Kluyveromyces lactis: one gene and its partner. The protein of the gene in region 2 purifies or fractionates together with the protein of the main gene of each other region. This does not show direct contact. Links are inferred from orthologs where the notes say so. Each region holds a gene or a part of one and is shown on either strand. Other genes may lie near its edges.

Region 1 (7,062 bases), on a different chromosome or scaffold from region 2:
CGGTTACCTCTGATTTCACTTTGCCGACTGCCGACAATATTTCTTTCCAGTTCACACTGTCATCTGGTAACTCCACTGCAATGCTAAAGAAGCGTAGTACGCCGTCTACGAAAACGCGAAACGCCACGAACTTAAGTGAGAAACGGAAATCATCAGTCAAAAGATCAACTTCGACTGTGTCAAGAAGGTCGAATATAAAAAGATCAAATGCGATAAGATGCAAAGGTGGACTCTTACACTATTTCACTAAGCTCGGTAAACGTGTAAGATTAAACCTTAAGAAGTTCCACCTGGCTCTAAAACGCAAACTCTTTACGTACAAACAACGTCATTTCGCAAAGTCTGATAAGAGGACAACATCACATTTACTTCGTTCAAACGGGTATTTCGCAAATATTAAGAGGTCACAATCGATGAGATCAATGGCTTCTTACTCTGATACATCCTCTCCAACCGTTCCATCTGGATTGGATATAAAGAATACCCCGATTGTCAAGCATTCCTCCAACATCAACCATCGTTCATTGAGGAGAACTCCATCCTCTATTAAGCGTGCAGCATCGATCCTTACGAGCAGTAATTCACTTATTTTTTCTAGAAGTAATTCTTCCGTCGGAAGAACTGATTCAACCCGTTTAGTTAGGTCTCAACCTTCTCTAAATTTAAACTTAGCGGTAAGACAACCTTCCATCGTTGTTAAAAATAAGGTGATACCACTTTCTCAATTCGATCATGACGATTATTGTATTAGAGAAGAAGACGAAGACGAAGAAGACGAAGATGAATATATTATCGATACACAAAAGATGCAACCACTAAAGTCAGAGATGGGATCTATTACATCATCCTTACATGATGGTGATTCTGTCTTCGAAGACGCTATGAGTTCGTCTGCCTCAATGGAATCATTGAGTGAATCTGTCAAAATTCTGAATGCAAATAAGGCTTGGGATTCTTACCTTCGTGCAGTTATCTCACAAAGAATTTTGATGAGATTGCAAGTCGCGAAGTTCCAAGCTTCACAAGATCACCATACTTACAAAGAATTGCTTGACGCCATTGTCACAGACTATGAAAGCGATGCTATCTTTTCGAATAACGACGCACAAACAGAAAATGACTCCATGTCAGAATGTGACTCCCCTCATGAGTTCGACACTCTAACTGATTCCTCGAGAAGTACACCAGCAGTTGTTCCACAGAGTTTACGCGAAAGCTTTTCGTCATTAGCTAATTTCCAAACCTCTGTGAAAGCCGGTGTTCGGAGAAATCTAACATTACCTGTAGGTATCAGCATCTGATATCTCATTTCAATACATTAGCATTAGGAGAGAGCCCATTTATTATTGACATATTTTTCCTGGACATAACTCCCTTCTTCCACCTCCCCTCATTAGCATTACAACATCATTGATTCCTATATATTCATATTAAGATAACCACGTTTGTTGTTCATATTTATCGCATTTCTAGTTCTCAACAGATAGAGTCAGATATAGACAGGGTTGTTTAATTAACTTTATCTGATGATTCTATCATTTTTGAATTTATTCTCTTTAGGCAGGTCAACAGATTTAAGATCGGGTGCGAGACCTTGCATTGAAATGTCTGTATAAAATTTATGAAGCAATCTGCACAACGGTTTCACGTACCACCTGTCCAAGTTCATGTCAAACCATCCAATGTGACCTCCCCTTGTAGTTGTTAACATTAAGGTGTACGGATTACTTTGGACTTCACGATATGGTAGCGCTTCACATCCAACAATAGGATCATCTAAGGCATTCAGAATCAGTAATGGAGTTCTCAACTTGTTTAATCTGTTCGAACTCGTACCGTGCCTGTAATATTCAAAAGACGTATTGAATCCAAACATTCTAGCCGTAAAAAAGTTATCGAATTCTTCCACTGTTTTCACTTCATGTAGGTGGTCGGCGTACATACGCGCCATTTCAGGATTTTGCTTCAAAACATCAAGATGAGATGTCGTTAGTTTAACTAAATTTTTCGCTAACGCTGGAGTGTAGGCGTATTTCCCTATCAAGTTTCTTTCCAAATGATAAGATGATGCCGTTAAATCCCATGGATTTCCCAACACAACACCTAATTCTACGTCTGATTGATCGGATTCTTGTCCCAGATAATTGGCCGTCATACTTGCCCCTAAAGAGACCCCACATAAAAAGAATTTTCTATTAGGAAACTTGTTCCTCAATTCCTTCACGCAAAACCTTACATCATCAGTCCATAGCCCACAATACAAAAATGGTGTCGTAATGCTTGATTGGCAGCACCCACGGCTATTTAAGACGCAGGCTTCAAAATTGTACTCGTTCGTGATGGTGTCAACTAAAGATCTGACATAACTTTCGTTAGAACCACCTGTCAACCCATGTAATATAATGAGCATCGGCTTTGTATCAGACGATCCGAACTTTTCATCAGCATCAAAATAGGTATACCTCGGAAGCAGTTGATTTCTCTGATTTTTGGGAACGTAACCAGTCTCTTTCCATAACGATTGGGGAACACACACATCTAGTGCACCTTCACCGCCGTCTGGATAATTGAGAATATATCTCTTATAATAAACCAAATGTTTCGATTCGAAAGTGAACATCGAAGCAAAAATCGTCTGCATATGACCACTGCAAAGAAAAGGTGGAATCACACACTTGCTATTATGTTGGAACTCCGGTGCATATTTGTCAATTAATGATTTAATGCTGACACTTTTTGCAGTTTTGCCTGGTTCGCTGTTAAATTGTAACAGCTCATCAGGTAAGAACTGCTGTACAGTTTGAACCCACGGTAATAACGAATATAATTCTCCCAATACCATTAGTAGCTGAAAAGCTCTCTAACACTCAAACACTGTTATTGATCCTCTTTTCTAATGTACCTTCTTTCTATTACATTAATCCATGAATAACTACCATAATGTTAAAGACCGATAGCATTAAGGTTTACTTTTCTTTCTTCAAAAACCCATTATAAGATAAAATACGTAAGGTCAGATGAAGACAATTCTAGATAGAAAAAAAAAAAACACACAATTGACATGCGAGCAATCGTTGGTAAAAGAAATCGCTACACGTTGGAATCAGATGCTCTATGGGTAATTAAGCGTTGCCACGGCTACAAACATATAGCCTAAAGTCACTTGTTTATTAGTATTTTGGACAAAAATTATGTAATATAATCGTTACCTATGACACACATCTACAGGTTCCGGAAACTGAAAAGAAATTTGAAAATAAAGATACCTGATTTTCACTTTTAATAATCAACCCATTTAACGAGAGGTTTATCCTCACGAGAATACAACAGCGATATACAACAAATAACGTGCTGATAGCAGAACATTAACATCTACGTCAAGGTTGCTATTAGTTTTACTAGATCGATCACCACTGTCAAAGGGTTAGAGACTTTTGAAGCGAGCTGTTTTTTTAGGTGTTGCTACGAGTTGTTTATTGGAAAATCTGGAATCTGTTTACTCCTTGTTGGTTTTCCCTCAGTGAAAGATAGAAGGATACTTCTATATCGAGGCACATATAATTACAATGATGTTCAGCAATGTACGTCTCGGTTCACGCTCTATATACGTGAAAAATCGCATATCTGCGGTATCACTTATAAATGGTGTAAGGAACCAGAGTTCTGTCAACTTCCAAAATAATCAGATGTTACAAAAGCAGAACTTGAAGCAATCGAAGCTCAAGAGTAAACGATCAAAACGTAAGGAGGACGGCGATCTTGTGGATTCGATGAAGCTTGAAGGTAAGCAAGAAAGTTCGGCATCTGCCTCTTCTTCTCCTTCTGCGGAATTAGGTAAGGATTCAGAGGAGAAGATCATAAAAATGGCCACGAAGAAGTTATCTAGAGATTATTCATGGTTACCAAGAGTACCAACCACCGAACATATATTAAGAGAAGAGTTCAACTCGGATATGTTATATTCTGGTTATAGACCCATCGTTGTTGGGGATAAGAACGCAAAGGAGAACAAATTGATGCAGTTTGCCATGAAATTAGAAAAGCTTAGTGAACCTGTACCCTGGGTATCAAGTGCCACGGGACAAGAATTTTTCAGCGAATGGGATAATGTACCATCAGAGATTATCAAAGATTTGAAACCGTTCCATCCACCAAGTATTGAAGAAACAAACAATGCAAAAAATAAAGAAGCCAAGGAAAAGTTACAAAAGCAAATATTACTGAATGAACAAGACAAATTAATAAATCGTAAGCGAGGAAGAAAGAAGCCCATAATCAGGTTATTGGATCTGAAACGCAAATTCGAGAAAGAATGAGAATTGAAATCTTTGGAATGCCAAGTTGATTCTTGACATTTTCTCGAGATTCTTTTTATTTGGGCTAACGATAAACAATTATTAGAATCTCTCTCTCTCCCTCTTTTCGTTAAAATCATTCCAGGGACTCACCATACCCCTGAAGGACTACTTTCTAAGTTAACACTATAATATTTCCAATTTTTCTTCCCTGTATTTCACGATTCATATATAGTATATATATCTAATGCATACGATTTAACAAACACAAATAATTTCGCCTTTTACTTCTGGAAACTAAAATATGTATGGAATCTTTTACAGGAGTCAAAAAATTATGACATCTTTCAGCAATGAAACGATCCGACCAGCATTTCCACTTTGTATGTTCCCTTTCCCAATTCTTAAACGTCATTAATCTTTGAAGATTTCTTTGAGTTTTTAGCTTCGCTACAACTGTTGCCGCTATAGCTATGGTGTATTATCTTTTCAACAGTTTCGAAGGACGGGAGTGCTTCATAATTCTCCAATTTCGTTCTAAAATCGAATTGTGCACTAAGCATATCGTTCCTGGTTTCCAATGTTGAACCGTTCAACGTCTCTATTGTATCACATAGTTCCATACATGTATCGAGATCAAAATCCTGCTGCCGACTATACACTATGAACTGTTCTGCATCGTTAAAATATTCTGCAAACACTTTATCGCAATCCTCTTTTACAAGTTGTAGTGATACAGAATCGTGCCAGCCCATTGAGAGATCAAGCTTTCCCTACCACTTGCTGCCTCAATGACAAGATAATCGAACCAAATCCTCTATTCTACAGAAACCTGGATAAAAATATGTGGTGGCCCGGTATTTTCGAAACTGCATCAGATACACACACATATATATATATATATATATATGACATATGCATCAGGTAGTTCCCATGCGTCGACCTATAACTTCCTTCAAAATAGCGGAGTTGCCAACAGAAACGTATATATGCCACTACTGTGAAAGTCCATAGAAATCGACTGACTCAAAAGAAAACATCTCTGAAGTTTTGTCGCATTTCTCCCACGCCAAAAATTACATCATATTGGAAAACTGAACAGCAAACACAGCATAAACGATTCGTACAAATTCCCAGCTTCTCGTTTCGTTCCAGAGGCTTTTCCAGAGATTTGTCACCTTGTCTTATCTTCAGCGAATAATATTCGAAACAACTGACGGAATTGGGGCTCTAATACAACACACAAAAGCCCTTAGTTTATCCGAGACACCGCGAAGACCGGGACTCGAGCGACGAAAACCTGTGCTCTATTTGGCTCTCTCTCCAATGGAAAACTGAAAACGAATTAATTCCGGGGTATTTCAGCGCGGGTAACAAGGTTTTTTTCTTCTCTTACATGGTATATCTGTTCAAAACTCCGAGAAAAGACACAGATGAAGAAGCATTTAACTCCGATTTTGGCGTGGGTTGGAATTTCTAACTGAGTAAGCAATTAAATTTGGTTGAAAACAGAATATACAAAACGGTTACAGAGAAAATTCACATTACAGGTTGTTTGACATCGGTACCGTTTCTATCTTTCTATATAACAGATGCCTATGGGGTCATCTTCTAAATGTTGTTTGTGTGATTAATTATTTTGTTATTGTTAATTTATTTTTATCTATCTCTATTCGACGTTCTTGATCAAGATAGCTGGTTCACCTGGAATAGCGTTTTCAATGGCTTTGCTCTTTTGAATCGTAACTTCTTCATTAGTAAATACGTTCTTGGCGGTTTCTGAGCCGTATGGTAACGAGAGAATTTCGTATTCGGAAATCTTGATTGATTGAGAAGACTTCTTCAAAATATCGAATGTAGACTTTACAGTTTCGATTTCGTTGAATAGTAAGTCTCTTGTGAAGACAGATTCTGGTGATTCAGTGGTTAATCTTTGTTTTAGTAAGGAGATGAATGGCATAGCACGCTTCATGTCCTTTGGATCGACCTTAGTCTTGACAACCTTGTTGTCGTCCAAAGTTTGGTTTTCGAATAATTCACGCACCAAATCGATGTACTTAGTTTGCCATTCTGGGAAAGTCTCAATAATGTACAAGGTCAACTTAGCTGGCTTTGAAGCATCAACGTCAGAACCCTTACCCTTCTTCTTTTTCAAAGCTTGGCCCTCTGCTTCTCTGATAGATCTTTGTAGATCTCTAACGTATTCTAGAGATACAGAGATACCGATGTCGACAGGTTTGTTGACAGTTGGGAACTTAGCGTTCTGTACGGAACCTTCTTTCTTTAAGACTTCACGGTAAATGTAGTCAGCGAAATGTGGTGCTACTGGTGCTAGCAACAATACTTGTGTTTCAATGTAACGTAGCACTAGATCACGGTGCATGACATCAGATGCCTCACGATAGTAATCTCTAGCAGCTTGATAATCGAACAAACCGTACTTCATAGCACTTTTATAATTGGTGGCAGCGTATTGCTTGTAAGTTTGTTCGATCAATGAATTCATTTCATTTTCGAACGCGATGTCAAAGAATCCATACTCTGAGTCGGTACGCAAATTCCCAATGTCCTTGACCATTTCTTCGGCCCATTCTTTCAAGTTATAGAGTCTTAGAATAGCAGCATTAGCATTAGATTCATCCAAGTTGGCATCTTCAACAGTGTCACCTGCATCAGCAAGAGCAATACGGGAAGCATCGGCACCGAATTTCGTCACCATGTCGTGCAAAGTCATGAAGTTACCTGTAGACTTGGACATCTTAGCATT
Region 2 (7,283 bases):
TTTTTCTAAGAAATAATCTTGCTTGCAAAGCCGCTCCATATCATTGTGCCACCAGTCGAAAAACTTCATGAACTTACTATTAATTATAAGTTTGCCCTTGCCAGCAAGAACATCAAAGTGTTTATGAAACTGTTCTAGTTCTTCTAAATGAATGAATGTGTCCAAATTATCTAGGGGAATTGACACTAATGCAGATACAGTGATGATGTAAAACATTGTTTCATTCGATATAAAGATATCATCTTTTGGAAGAGTTACCATTAGCTCCACCAAGTTTGGTATGTCGATGATTAGTTGAATGAACCTTTGTAAACACTGATGATATTCCCCCCTTAGGAACCAATTTAAAATCAATAATAACTTGCACTCGATGAAATCCGCTAATTCCGTTGGCTCAGAAGTAATGGGTTGGGTATTGAGCCTAGATTCAAAATCAATCACTGCTTTATAATGAGAATTTAGAATATGAGTTCTAATCAGGAGTTTGGTCCGTTTGAAAACACCCACTGAGCTCATAGAAACATCACTATTGATAAATATTATGGATTCAGCGTATTTATTATCAAGTAGCATAGATACTAGTTTTTGTTCCCAGGCAGGAAATCGCTTTGAAACAACACTCCAGGTTTTGAGCTCTCTACTTTCATTGTAATTTGGATATTTGGATCTGAAATGACGATCTTGAAGCACTGCCAACGGATAAAATAGCCTACCTTGTGTCATATATAATGCAATATTCTATCAAAAACAGCCCCAAAACATGTAAAAAATGCAATCGCAAACAATGCTAACTCTTTTTCAGAGGCTTTGATGTTATTCTAGTACTACTCACCTTGTTGGTCTTTTTAATTATGTCTCGTGTGATGCAGCTTACACTGTTTCTTGTTCTCGTTCAGATATGGCTGTTTTGCATATTATGTCAATTTTTCCAATATGATTCTGTAGTAGGAAAAATATTAATCACGGTCGAATCTTTGAGTACAACCTCATCGCAGACACCTCAAGAGCAGTTTAGACAGGATAGTCAGTCAGCAAGCATCAGAATCTGTATGTCGATAGGTCGAACAGTTATACATGTGCCATGTGCGCAGCGCTTTGTTAGGGCATTTCATGCTACGCGGGTACCTTACGGCTCACCGTTGAAGGTTAAGTTGGACCTTCTGCAGAAGACACAGACACTTGTGAAGCGAACAGAGAAGGAAAATGGAAAGCAGAGGGATATCGCTCGAAGGGAAGCACGCAAAGCTCGGAAGTACGGATATTCCATTAAGAAAGCGAATGAAATCTTAAAAGGGAGACACAAAATTACTAATCTTGATAAGTCTATCAAAGTAGGACCAACTTCGGACGATGATACGAGCATTCTTTCTGTCGCTAACGATAAAAGATTAATGTATACTATACTAGGTATATCTAGACCTCAACTAAAAAATTCAATATTGGTGGAACGCGATGTTGCGAAATTTTGTAAGAGAGGCCAGTTGCAAAAGGCTTTATTTCTTATAAAGCTTGCTGGACCAAATGGTGCAGCTGGAATGAACACATTAATGACACATTATCTAGAAGTTGAAAAAGATAGCCATTCCGCTGTGGATTTATATTCTTGGAGAAAGAAGTGGCAAATACCTCCCAATGAATACACTGAAACAAATTTGTTCAAAGGGTTGGCAAGGTTGCCAGAACCAATTTCTGTCAAAGTTGCAGAACGAGTGGTGAAGATAGTTTTAAAATTGGTTGAAGATGAAAGACTCAATAATATAAATTTTAACGCTGCATTAAGTGCGTTGGCGAACTCTAACGACCCTAGTTACCTGTTCAAATGTTTTGATTTGAGACCCAAAGGTATAAAAAAAGATGCAATTGCGTACACGCAACTACTTATTGGATGTGCGAAGATTACAGATGCAGTGGAAGCCATTCAAAGGGCTGATGATATAATGAACTCTGCTGACCCCAAAGTTATCGATTCACAAATGTTTTTTCATTATTTGAACGTTTGGCACTCTAGAAGGGATCTACGATTTTCCAATTGTGTGTTGCCTCTGCTTGATATATTCTATGATTTTAAGGTCCCAAATGTTCGTTTCAAGAAAGAAATACCAGAATTTGTCAAGTTGCCTGCTTTGAAGAATTGGAATATCAAATCTAAAATGCGTTTGACTCCCCATGTTGCACATCTTTTAATGGAAAATTGCTTTAAGACCGGACAATACGAATATGGTATCGCTTTCTTCGAGCATTACCTGGGAAAAAGACCAAACCTTTTCAACAACAGAACAATAAACGCTGCGTTGAACTTAATTATCAAAGCAGATCCGGAGAACTGTGGAGAGAGATGTTATGAGCTACTTCGTAAGATGATGGATGATGGTATGTTGCGGGAACCCTTACAGCACGTCGTTTTAACTTATAAAGCATTTGAAAGACAGGCTACTAAAAAGCTAAACAACAGTGATCCTGTAAAGGCGACAGAACTTGTAAAATCATGTCTTGCACTTATGAAGGACAATGAAGCAAAGACTTCGATTCAAAATGATGAGTACAAGAGCTATTTATCCTGGAAACCATGGATGTTCTTATTGAGAATTGTTATGTCATGCAAAGACGCGTTACCTTTGACTTTCAAGAAAACGATAATAGACGAGTTCATTACCACAATGCTCTGTGATCCAGTAATGTTGTTGAAGCAGAGAGGAAGCACTCGAGAGAGTATGCGTTTTGTTTATCTTGAAGCTGTACGTTTTATAAAATCATTGGAATCATCTTTGAATTTAACCGATGAAGAACTAAAGGAAGTGCAAGCTGAAGCGGAAGATTCAAATTCTTTACTTAAAAGAAAATTTTTGTTTCGTAGGCATCTAATAAGATTAAGAAAGAGAATCCTAGAGGTTGTGGATAACCTAGAACATGATAGGGATTCTAACAGCCCCGAAATCGAAAAATTGTTTAGACAATATTGTGAAACAATATTGGACACCAACATTGATGACTTTTCACCAACATAATTGAGATGCCTCCTGTACATACTAAACCAATGAAAAAGGCATCTCACTTGGAGGCTTGTCTTTTGCTGGCTCTGCATTTCAATAATTAAACTATTGCAAACGGTGTAATAATCAAAGGTACCAATGGAAAAGACGATAGGTACATTATAACAGATATTACATAGAGCGATATATAATGTACAAATTTGCCTTAAAAATCCATAATAAAAAAGGTAAGAGAAAAATTATGTATATACAAGAGAAATGTTGATAGAGGGATCATAAAGCTCAGTGATCAGTAGTGAAGTAAAACCACCAAGAGGCAGAATTGTTTTTGAATGAACAAATACTTCTGTCTTTAGTCATATTGAAAAAGAGTTATTGTTGCAATTACTCGAAGAACTTCTTCATTTTCGACAACCATTGAATGTATTCATTATTCTCCTTGAACTCAGAGTAATTAGAAATGAATGAAGTTAAATCGGTGGTGATACCTCTGGATTCCAAGTAAGATTCCAAGGACTCTTGCAAAGATTCATCCAAGTTAGAGAATGGAGGACCGTGGTATCCCAATTCTCTCTTGATTTCGGCTTCTGCTGATTCATTCAAAGCATCTTCTGCTGATTCGTATGGGGTAACGGAATCGACGTAGAAAGAACCTTCTTGCATGTTCATCAAAAGCTCAAATGAAATTGCTGTGTTGTCGGAGTTCTTCACAACGACAATGTTGACATTGGCAAAGTTATCAGACATACTATCGAAATCTTCCTCCAATTGTTCTTCAGATTGTTCTAAAGCAGCTGGTTCGACAGGCAAGTTAGCAACTTGAGCAACGTCAAAGAAGACATTGATAGTTTCATCGTTCAATTGTCTTCTAATGTGAGCCAAGTTACGGCCTTCTTGAACGACAGGCTCAAAACCGTACTTGGACAGGAAAGTAGCCAATTCTTCTGGCAAGTCGACAATTTGTTGAGAAGTTTCTAATTCGACTTCGCTGTTTAAAACTTGAGCAACCTTCGTAGTATGTTGGTTGAAAGTGGTAGCAGTATAGGAGAGTTGACGGGAAGATGTGATAAAGGTTGGACGAGCAATCACATTTCTGGCCACCTGGATGGAAGCTGGACGAGCAGCAACACGGGAGGCAACACGGGTAATCAAACGTAGGGACATAGTATTCTATCAGGGGAGGGGGCTTATCCTATAGGACTGGTTTGTTTTAACCCTTAAATTTGGATCAAATAAGCTAGCTCATCGCTTGAAATATCACAGTTCAATATAAGAGCTTATAATCTTTCCAGAATTCTTTTTCCTTTCAGCTCTCGATCCTAGAGTGTGGCAAAAAGAAAGTATATCAGGGTAATGAGGTGGATGCCCTTTTCATATTTACCCGCACGTTCAGCGTCACGTGAATGAGTAAAGTGTAAACAAGCCAATAAAAGAGGTAAAGACGCCATCCGGGTACAAATTGCTCGAACAGTTCTAAGGGCGGACCCTGGTACAGATACAGTGCGTTGACTTCTAGGCGTACGTAATTTTCGCTTTTCGTTTTGTGAGTAGTGGTAGCCTTTAGTTTCCGAGTTATTTCACTACGTTAATTTCTTCGTTTCAGCTTGCAGAAAGATGTTCGAGACCCGAGTCCATTTCTATTGAAAATTCTTTTCTTTTGTGAGGGAAGCGAACTTTCGAACCGTTTTGGTCACTGCTTTCCGTGCTAACATTCTGGATCAAAAGTACGAAATTTTTCGAGCCTTAGTCCCATGGTAACTCTCGCATTACTATTTGACAAATGAACGTTTACTGATCAGAGTGTGTTTAGGGCAGAGAGGTAATGTCCGTTTCGACCGTAGTCTCGAACCGGAACAATGATCAACGCCTTGGTTTTCCCGAGAAAATTCGTGTTCGTTTTTGCAAGAGCACGGAGGACAACATTCATTGTCAGTTCTAAGAAAGAAAAAAAAGCCAGTTGCAAATAATTGTAACGACGTAATTTACTGCGCAAAAGAGCCCCATCTATGATTATGCTCATGATTGAAATTTATTCCCAGGATTTTGCTGTGGTGTGTTATGCAGCCATCTGCAATTCTTCTATTAAACTACTTTTCACAAGTTGAAGAGTACAAGTCCAAGAACATACTCTCAGACTAGTACCCAGGGGATCTAGATCTTTTGACTATTAGCATATTTTTCGGTCCTTATTATACCGTTCTTTCGGCTCTACTGTTGATTTCTAGATTTGTGTCTTTTTTTTTGTTCATACATTTCACAAAGCAACAGAGTGTCGTAATTAACCATAGAAACTGCTTCTTCATCCGTGATATCCTTGTAACATGTCTTGACAATTTGCGGTTCTTATTCAACAAGAGATGAGTATTGCTTGGTAAAATTGCAATCGGCATGAGGGTGTAAATAGTTTAGAAGATTTATCGCATATTTTTCTGAGTCCTTTGTTTTCAGTACCTTTCTGCCTACATAAGGTGTCTTTTCAGGTAATTTCCTACAGATGAAAAGTAATCTAATTAAGTAGCAAGGTGTCTGGTTCAACCAACGAAGTGGGCATTACTATATCACATATGCATTTATGTAATTCGACCGTATATCACGTGGATGTGCGTGCTAATTGTTGTTGTTGTTGTTTTTTTTTCCATTGGATATGTTTCTCGAATGCATGCATCTGTGTATCCTTATGCAATCCTCTTCTCAATATCTTTTTTAGAATTTCTTTTCTTTTCGGTCAAGTGTTTTCTAATTCGTAATTTCTAGGTCTAGTGCATTATTGAACCAAATAGAACAGCTTCCAACATCTTCAGCTATCTTTTAACTTTGTTCGAATCACTGCTTTAACGAAGACACCAAATAAGAACCTATACCAAGACAAAACTGTCAAATTAAGCATACAGAAAGAAAGTACTTTGTTAGTAATAGGGTGTCAAATCTAATCTATTTATAATTTCGAAGAGAAATGGAGTATATAGACACGATGGGCACCAACAAACAACAGGAAGAAATCCAACTCAAAGAACCTCTTTCGTTTTCAAGGCCTCTCGCTAGACCACCATCGATATCTGGATGTACAGAGTATAAAGATCGTGATTCAATTCAGAGCAGCTCATTCACATCGGAAAGTTCATCAGTTCTAAGTTCGTCATCCACTTTGATCGATGATAAATCGTCGAATTCATCGTTAGCATCTCCTGCCCTGAGCGCAAATTACAAAAGAAATTCAACGGAGGTACTGCCCGAAAAGATTCTGATACATGCGTCGACTTTCCCTTCAGCATCTGAACCTTCGTATAGTACATGTACACCTTCACCGTTGTCAGCATCTCATAGAAGTTCCCTTTCGTTTTCACGGAGTAGATCGCGGAGCATAGCAATGAAGTCCAATAGCTTGCCCGCTATTCCAACAATATGTCCAAAAGATCTCCGATTTCCTAAACATAAAGACTGCTCGTTTATTAGCCCTGCGGACTTGCACCATTATATTGAAAATATGGACCAGAATCCCAATGAAAAACTGATAATATTCGATACAAGGCCGTTCATAGAGTTCAACAAAAATCACATCAGATCGGCAATGCACTTGTGTCTTCCCTCGACTTTACTGAAAAGGAAAAACTTCAATCTGGAAAGGTTGATAGGTAATCTACCTTCCCCAGGAAGGGAAACTTTATCGGAATATTTATTGGGCAGTGACAGCGCCACTGCAAATGCCAAGGTGGTTATTTACGATAATGTGGCAAACCAGACAGATTATGCAGTATCATTGGCATGTTTCGGAATATCTTCTAAGATCCTCGATCATGTAAGTGACAAACAAAAGCCTTCTGTTTTCATTCTCGCAGAAGGTTTTGAATCATTTAATGCAGCATATCCTGATGACGTCGAAGTTGGTACCATGGATTTGGAAGACTCTTATACCTTAGATTCCCCATCTTCCCCTCATCAGGCAGACAATATTTCTCCAGTTCAACCGCAGTTGAAACACTCTGGTAGATCTCATTCGCATTCTTGTTCTCCTTTGAAACAGCCACCACAAACCGGTAACAGTAGGACTCTATCTGGTTCCCCAATATCCACATCATCACCATTATCATCTTTGTTTGGATTTAAACTGCCGGCACCGATAAATAATCAACATTTACCAACTTTTAAGTTACCGCAGATTGAGCATGACATTTCCGATCTAGATAATTATGTGAAGGCCGTAGAGATCAATGAACGCTCTCAAAGAAATTCTTTCTTAGAATCAGAAAATGACCTAAGATCCTTCAAATTTCCTGCTTCACCGTCCAAACAGTT

What was found. Proteins that work in one complex are often made in the same cells at the same time.
Region 1: the proteins of MAM33 (region 2) and PET20 purify together in Saccharomyces cerevisiae (affinity purification with mass spectrometry; 3 studies listed by BioGRID). This does not show direct contact. The link is inferred for Kluyveromyces lactis from reciprocal best matches to the Saccharomyces cerevisiae genes MAM33 and PET20.

The regions. Positions count from the first base shown.
Region 1 is NC_006040.1:516,516-523,577, forward strand, and holds PET20 (Pet20p), read left to right. Parts: upstream 1-3,566; coding exon 3,567-4,316; downstream 4,317-7,062. Other genes in the region: AIM44 (Aim44p), read left to right, coding at 1-1,301; MGL2 (putative carboxylic ester hydrolase), read right to left, coding at 1,520-2,842; KLLA0_D06083g (uncharacterized protein), read right to left, coding at 4,700-5,050; leucine--tRNA ligase CDC60, read right to left, coding at 5,965-7,062. UniProt on the Saccharomyces cerevisiae protein: Required for respiratory growth, stability of the mitochondrial genome and for proper assembly or maintenance of mitochondrial proteins.
Region 2 is NC_006039.1:670,772-678,054, forward strand, and holds MAM33 (Mam33p), read right to left. Parts: upstream 4,155-7,283; coding exon 3,375-4,154; downstream 1-3,374. Other genes in the region: PCI8 (Pci8p), read right to left, coding at 1-723; MRX1 (Mrx1p), read left to right, coding at 852-3,005; tyrosine protein phosphatase PTP3, read left to right, coding at 5,944-7,283. UniProt on the Saccharomyces cerevisiae protein: Not known. Binds to the sorting sequence of cytochrome b2.